Linked DNA regions of Oryzias latipes. The protein of the gene in region 1 purifies or fractionates together with the protein of each later gene. This does not show direct contact. Links are inferred from orthologs where the notes say so. Each region holds a gene or a part of one and is shown in the gene's direction. Other genes may lie near its edges.

Region 1 (3,649 bases):
ATTATTCAAAAATGAGGGGTTAATGAAACGTCCTCCCCTCATCTAACTAAATAAATAAAGTAAGTAAAACCTTCAACATCTGTGTCTTTTTATTTTTTTTTTATCTTTGCAGAATGTCAAGACCTTCTCATCTTCAGACAGCCTAGCGAAGGTCCAGGAGGTAGCAAGCTGGCTTTTAGAAATGAACCAGGATCTGCTGTCGGGGGGCAGCAGCAGCAGGCGGAGTCGGGGGCCCGGGGGTCCAGCAGTGCGAGGTAACACCTCCTCTACGACCCGGGCACCCCAGCAGGCGGCAGAAGAAGCCGACGAGGATGAGCACATTAACCGGGTTGTCGAGGAGGATGAGCAGTTGCAACAGAGGGTGAGGCCAGCTCATGCTTAGGAAACATTTCCCTTTTATGTAGGGGGAAGATTATAAAAAATGTGTTGATACTTGAAAGATTTATAACTATTTTGATAATGGTGGATTAAGTTTTCCCTAACATGTTAAAAAAAAAAACGTAGGGATCCTTCTTTATGAATATGAACTCAAGGAAATGCATAACTCTTTAATTGTGTTTTCTTGGGTTGGCCTGTAAAGAAACATCTCTACACGAGAGGCCTAGACTGCAGTCAACTGTGTTTTTTTTATCTTATATTTCTCAGTTTAGTAAAATAAGTAATTAAATGAGTCGCTTTGATCTCACAGAATTCGATGGATGGCCTCACATCTAGCTCCAGAACAAAGTGATTTATATAAAGTCTTGGCAGAAGCCAGAAACGTTACCCACCCAACCTTAGGAGTTTGAGTAAACACAGCCCTTCACTGTCTTCTCAATGTGGGATCGTCTCTGCGTACAACTTTGTTCCAGAAGTGTTCTTGTTTTTTTTAGGTTCAAGTTTGCAACCTTTTTCTGTTTTGATTCACAAACTTCTTTAAAAGCAGTCTTATATTCCTTTGAACTTTAAAACTTAATTCTCTTTAGGTGGTACTCAAAATATCATCTTTAGCATTGTTTTAACATCCTATAGCCTTAGAATTGAAAGGCATTTCACATAAGCATCCGCTGTTCTTTTCCTTTTCAAAGCCCGAGGTGTCCCAGGTTGATGGTGAGAGGGAGCAGCTTTGGGAGCCCAGCGAATCAGGAGCCAGCAATGGCCCTCAGGGAAACGAGGAGGTGGAGGAAGATGAAGGAGCCCCGCCAAACGAAGTGAACGGAGACGAAAAAGGAGCCAGGTGGATGTGGGGGACCGAACACAGACAGGTGAGAGGGCAGCCACCCCTCGAAGAGGAGGAGGAAGAAGAGGAGAACAACAACAACAACAGCAGCAGCCACCAAGAGGAGGATGAAACTGAGGAGAGGACAGAGGGAGGGGATGAACAAGGAAGGGACGAGAGGGGAGAAGGAGAGGAGGAAGAGGAGGAGGATGAGGAGGAGATGGACCAAGACAGCGATGAGTTTGAACATTCAGCAGAAAGCGAAAGGGAGGAGGAAGAGGAGGAGGAGGGAGGTGAAGGGGAAGAAGAGTTGCATCCCCCCTCTTTCGCGAACAGGGTTTCTGCCCCCAACAATCAGGACTCTAGATGTAAACCCCAAAGCCCTTCCAACAAGAAGGACAAGGTAAGACATCAACAAATCCATTTGTTTCCTTTATATATGGTCTCTCTTTGTAGCTGAGAAGTGTGAACTTTGTTTGGGGAAAATCACCGTTTACAATTTGCACCAAAAGGTTTTAAAGTATTTTTGTTTGAACACATTTCCATTCACATTCATTCATAATAATAAAACATATATGTGAAACACTTAGATGGAATGACTGAAACTGAAATTCCCACTGTATACTAGATTTATAGGTGATTGGCTCCATCTTGTGGCATAAGCGATACTCCTCAACAGTTCCTACTAAGAGCGTCTATTTTACTTGAAAACTTATAACTAGGGATCATAATTACTTTACCCTACACCAGTGAGGAAATCCAAAGAAAGATACTTTCAGAGCCTTGTTACAATTGGAGTTTGTGGCTTTCAGTCTATCGTTCGATGAGTGGGCATATTCGAAGAATTACAAGTGTTGGTGATTCTCCTGCAAAATAAGCATAAAGCGACGATATTTACTGAATATAACTTAGCCTGGGGAGAAAATATCAAATATAGGTAAAGTTGTGCATTTTTCCAGTTCCAATAATAACAGTGAATTTTAAAGAAGCAGATTTGTTTTTATTCCCCTAAGATATCTGAGTCAAAGATCTTTTGAAAAGCAATGGTGGGATAATTTACATTCCTTAAATCTGTGGAATTAAGCTGATTTTAAGTTACAGTTTGTCTATTTATCTGAATAGACTTAAGTCTGAATAGACTACATTATTATTAATAGAAAGACCTGTTCTGAAAGGGATGTTTATTACACTGGCTCCTTACATGGCCTTTACAATGCTTTAATCCTTGGTTTCGAATGATATTTATGCCATTTAAAACTACTTATGCCAAAGCAGTCTGTCTATGTTGCTGTGAGTGTTTGTCACATTTCTGTGCCGTTTGTTTGCTTTGGCCCCTCTGTAGTCGTGTTTCAAGATGCAGGATTTGGCCACATAACACTTGGATGAAAGCAAGTACAAGCTTTTGGTTCTGGGAATTTTAGAAGATCCATCCCCCAGCCAACTTGACAAGCTTTACAAATATTCTCTAAAAATATTGTTATTGCAAAAAGGAACTCTGTGTCCTGTCACATGTTAATAATGTATAAAACCATCTATTTATCAGTGTTATTTTATTACAATTTGAAAAATCTTTCTAATCAATGTGTTTGAGTACAGATGTTCGATAACTTATGTTTTTAAGAGGTGTTTCAATGCTTTACTTGCAGTGTGGATGTTGCAGCCCCTTAAGCCCCACAAGGAGCCAATTGTCTGAAATCATTCACATTCCCCATCATGTTTGTTTCCGATTCATGTTTTTTTTTGTCCCTGAATCCTGACATATTTAAAGTCATTGCTTTCAATATTCTCTTGGTACGCTCACAAGAATTCAGATTTCATGTCTCATACATTTCAAGCCCAGCCACTGTAGAGGAGAAGTCAGGCCAACTTTTTAAAAATGCTTAAAAAACATATTTATCTTTATTCCAGATGTTGCATTTGCTTTTACCTTAATCAAGGAGCTGAATATCATTTTTGGGAAAGCAGGAACACACATATATGTATAAATAAATAAATAAATATATATACACATATACATGTATATATTTCTCTTATTGGGTGTTTGTATTCTATAGAACTGTCATTGTAATGTTATTCTAGACTGCAGTGTTTTTTAGGGATTACTCAATCTGAATCGATCCAAACTTAATACATCAGTAATCAATCCATAAAAGTAGAGATTGATCTTCTTTTGCCTTTCCTTTTCTGGTGACCGAACACGTAATAGCAGTAAAGCCAAAGTCTGCTAGCTTGATGCAACGTATAATGGAAGTTCCCTTCCCTTAGGACAGTTAACGCTCTGCCGACATAAATATACATTGCTGACTTAATGAACAACTTTATATACTCACAGGCATGAATATTCCAAACTCCTTTAAAGCAAAACTTTTTTAAAGGTAAATCTGTGGTGTAAAGCTCTCTTTTGTTTTCTTTGCTCAAATCTTTTGGAAGAAAGTGTAATGCTATAACGAG
Region 2 (4,364 bases), on another chromosome or scaffold:
AGGACACAAAACAAACCAAACTAAAACCAAACACAAAAAGCAAGGACATTTGTGTTCGACTGTCTGTTTAGCTGAGCTGGCTCATAACCAATAAACCTTTTCAGAATTTCTCTGCCACAGCCAATCAGCTCCTGGCTCTTGTTTCTGAGCCTGTAGGTGCAGACAATTAAGCTCCTAATTGCAAAGCTCCTGCAGTCAGCATATGTAACTGATCTTCAAGTTGGATGTCTGCAAAAGTCACAGGATTGTTCAGTCCGATCTCCAAACTGAAGAACGCCAAATTCCATCAATAAAACTGTATATAAAATATACATATTAAACATAGTGTTTGGCTTTAGCAGAGAAGTTTGGCAGCATTTTAAGGATTATATTTGGAATTTTTTCTTACAACAAATAAATTGTCCATTGAAAGTCTTATTTTTTTTTTTACTTTAAAATGATTTACAATTGTATTCAGTCTAATTTATCTGCACTACAAAACACCAGCAACTTTTTCAGTCTGGTCTAAAACTAAAGGAGAAGTAGAAATTGGTGGGGTTAGAGAAATAAACAAAACAAGACTCAAAAAAATTGAACAATTTAAGTTTTATTCTGAATTTTTTGTCCAAATGAAATTTGACAATGTTAAGACATCAAATAAAAAAAAGGGACACAGCATTAGAATAAGGAAAGACAATACAATAATTAATGTTGTCGCAAAGCCGCATGCTGTGATGGGTGAAGATGATTCTGTTCGTCCTGAGTGTTTAAATGGCGGAGATGCTAAGAATGTTGCCCCCCCCCCCTCTCTCTCTGGAGGAATGGGGGGGGGGATCATTACAAATAAATAGTGAGGAATTTTAAAATCTAAAAATAATAAATAATAAACAATTAATACAATGATTGGAAGACTGCAGAACCTTGGACATGACATGAAACAGTAAATAAATTATTCCCTGAAGTTAAATATTTGTGGCAACAATTTAGTATTTGGAGCACACAAATTAGTATTACATGGCCAAAAATTAGCAATGCATTTGCATTTTGTGAGCACAAATGACAATATTGTGTAGAAAAATTTGAATTTTATATGTCCAAATAAGCCTTTCATGTGCACAAATTAGTAATTTAATGTAATTAATTCCTACTAAAACTTTTATGTCACAAAATGGTACTTTGTTTGCGCAAAAACTAAATTGTGGCAAGAAAAGGTTCATTTGTTAAGTTGTGGCCTCAAATTATTATTTTGAGGAAGCATCTTTTTAATGTCCCGACCAGGGCTCCGTAGAGACAGATAAGAACATGTATGCAGAAATCTGAGGAAGAGCTCAAATGATTTTACTTAGAATTCTTGTTGCCTTGATGGACTGTTTATAAAGATATACTTTACATACCCCCCCCCCCCCCCGCACCCCAGTTTCAGCCCCTCCCATGAGCCGCGTTGCCCCGGCGACTGCCGGGTTGCGTGATGACGTCGCAAGTATATGAGCGCAGACGGCGGGATCTCGCTCCCTTTTACCGCCATCAGAGCGAAGTCTCTTTCTTCACGGGTCCGCCTCACTGCGCAGCGCTGTTTCCACAGTCCTGTCTCCGGCCACACAGCGAAGGTAAGGCGGACAGGGCTCAAGTGCCGGCGCCTCGCGCGCCTGTCGCCGTCCAGGGAGTTAAATTCGTGCTCTGTCACTTGATGGGAGTGAAAGTGTCGGCGGAAGACTGCTTTGCCATTGCTAATGCTAAGTTAGGCAGACGCCAGCAGCCATTGCCTGGCCCCTCCATGATGTGTTACACGCGATAAAAATAACTGAAAAATAACTGCTAACTGTGCTGTGTATATATATGCGCCGTCTGTTCGTCTCGCCAGGATTTGTTGCACTTTTCTGTCCAAACGTTAGTCGGTCCCTGCGCAGCAGGTCGTTTTTCGACATTTGCCCACACATGTCTGGTTATATTCACTGCTTTTAAGGGGGGGGGGGGTGAGTGACCTTATTTTCAGAGGATGGTATCAGGGTGGGGAACAGTTGTTTACAACCGTGACTTGTGGAATAAAGTGCGCTAACGCAGCTTTTAGCATGATTATCACGCGTGTTGACGTGGATCCGGAGCGTCGGGAACGCTTCTGAAAGCGGTCCATGTTGTGTGGTACCGGAACCGTCCGTCATAGCGGGTCTTTTTATTTTTTTTCTCGCTGCTCCCCGAAGAGTGCGCATCAAGCTAACGGCGCACGAGCTAGCCGAGCCGGCCGGACGCGGGGACAGGAGCCGCTCTGGTTGGTCAATGTTCCGCTCGTGGGTTCTGATTTAGGCTAACGGTTCGGCTCGTTTGGCCTCCTTTAAAAACGCAGTTTCAGAAAATTGTCCTTTGTCAGACCTCGGCAACACGTGGTCTGTACCAGAGGAAACTTCTCCACCGGTTCTGCGCAGAACACGTTCAAGCTAATCCTCAGTTTAACTGTCATCTCATTCTACATTTTATTCTAATTTTCAATTTGAATTTAAATCGTTGATTTTAAATTTGAAGTTGCAGGTTATTGACTCTTGGATTATGGTAAAAGAATTACTCTCCACATTGCTAGATTTTTAATCCAGGGAGTCATCTGAGGATCAGACCCCACAAGTGTCATCTGACTCTGAACTCGCCTGTGCAGCTGGATAAGGCTGAATGCAGCTCACCTGGGATCAGATGTGGATAGAGGGGTTGGATTCCTTTTACCTATCAGATGCATATCATAACTAGTTGACAATCTGATTCAGGGTTTTTGTTCAGTTTGAACAATCCAATTCACTCACCCAAAGTGTTTCCATACATTGAACTGGAATGATGGACTGATCAGTGTTGCATCACATGTGTTGTCCGCTGTGATGCACTTTTATTAAAATAAACGCACCATGTCGCTATCCAAATTGTATTTTCCAAAAATAATTATCGATTTACTTCATATGGAAAATTTTTGTTGTTGTGGTGTATGTCAACTTGATTAACAACTTAACCTCAGACAGATCGATCTGGTTGGTTAAATTGATTCGATTTAACGTTAGGCCACTTGTATTCTGTGAATTTACTGGAGTTTCCAATCACATCACCTGTTTACATTCAATCGGTATGGTTTTAATTCAAAATTGAATGTATACGTTTCAAACTTTTTTTAGCTTTATATTTTTGTGTTTAAGCAAACATAAGAGTTATGACGCACAATTGTGAGACTCCTTGGAAGAACATTTAGTTCAGTAGAGCTTTTTCTGATTCTCAAGATATCTTTCATATAGTTATGACCTTGTCTTCGCTTGGTTTTTGGATTTATACATTTTTAATTTGTCTCTGCATGTTTTATTGTTAGAAAACATGAAAACTGTTTGATCTCAAACCTTTTCCAGTAAATAAGAAAATAATTTTAAGTATTAGATTAGATTTAAAGATAAATTAAGAGTAAATTGTAAAGTAGAAAAAACCGTCAATGTCCCAGACTACTAAGGGTTAAATTCTTTCTTTCAGTTTCAAATGTTATAACAAAAGTTTGATCTAACTTCGGCTGACTGCTCCTGTGCTGTTGTGCGTTCTAGTTGGACTTGTTGCTGTCAGGTTTCTAACCTCTTCCTGTGCTTCCTCCCAGCATCACTTGAGACTCTCCAAACATGTCAGACATTGACAAGTGAGTAGATCTGACACAAATCATGTTGTGGGGAGTGGGGAGCCACCTGGACCTTCTGGTTGATCATCTGCAGGATTTGTTGGAATGTGTAGATGATGGTTTGCTCGGGACAGAGAGCTGTTGAACCTTCCTAATAGATAACACTCTGTCTCCCCCCCACCCCCCACCTCCAAGCAGTAAAGACCAGACTGAGATGGACCCGGCAGACATGGAGGATGTAGAGGAGGTGGAAGAGGAGGAGACCGGGGAAAATGAAAACAGCAAAGGTACTATTGACCAGCAAATTGCTCCAGCAAAACCTCTGGCTTTCTGGTAACTGATTTGAGTCTTTTATTTTGAAGGAATGTGGACTCACTGAGGTGCACTTTGATGTTATTTCTAGTCTGTTATTTAAAGAGAGCCAGAGCTTGTGCATTACATTCTGAACAAGGTTGTAATCGGATTATTATGGATCCTGGAAAGATGCAGCTGTTCTGCCACATCCAGAACACCTGCAGATCCAGAGTCTTTCAAAGCTGGAATCTCAAGAGTGGTTCTGTTTGTCTGGGACTGATCTGTCATTATTGTTCATGATGATGAGCGGGTCATGCATTCATGACAAACGCACTTGCTAGCTTTTTCCACACCAACAATGAGGAGAAACATCAGGGAGAACCTCTGCAGCTCTCCTGCAGGATTCATGGAATAATTGAGTCCTCTTCTGCTGTTTGTGCTCTCAGGGAAGCGCAGGAGCTTCATT

Evidence for each region. Proteins that work in one complex are often made in the same cells at the same time.
Region 2: the proteins of fbxw7 (region 1) and nap1l1 purify together in Homo sapiens (affinity purification with mass spectrometry, with the first as the bait; 3 studies listed by BioGRID). This does not show direct contact. The link is inferred for Oryzias latipes from reciprocal best matches to the Homo sapiens genes FBXW7 and NAP1L1.

Annotation. Positions count from the first base shown.
Region 1 is NC_019859.2:19,453,347-19,456,995, reverse strand, and holds part of fbxw7 (F-box/WD repeat-containing protein 7), read left to right. Parts: intron 1-112; 5' UTR 113-181; coding exon 182-361; intron 362-1,067; coding exon 1,068-1,601; intron 1,602-3,649. UniProt on the Homo sapiens protein: Substrate recognition component of a SCF (SKP1-CUL1-F-box protein) E3 ubiquitin-protein ligase complex which mediates the ubiquitination and subsequent proteasomal degradation of target proteins.
Region 2 is NC_019881.2:10,005,905-10,010,268, reverse strand, and holds the start of nap1l1 (nucleosome assembly protein 1-like 1), read left to right. Parts: upstream 1-1,432; 5' UTR 1,433-1,447; coding exon 1,448-1,586; intron 1,587-3,586; coding exon 3,587-3,625; intron 3,626-3,762; coding exon 3,763-3,891; intron 3,892-4,364. UniProt on the Homo sapiens protein: Histone chaperone that plays a role in the nuclear import of H2A-H2B and nucleosome assembly.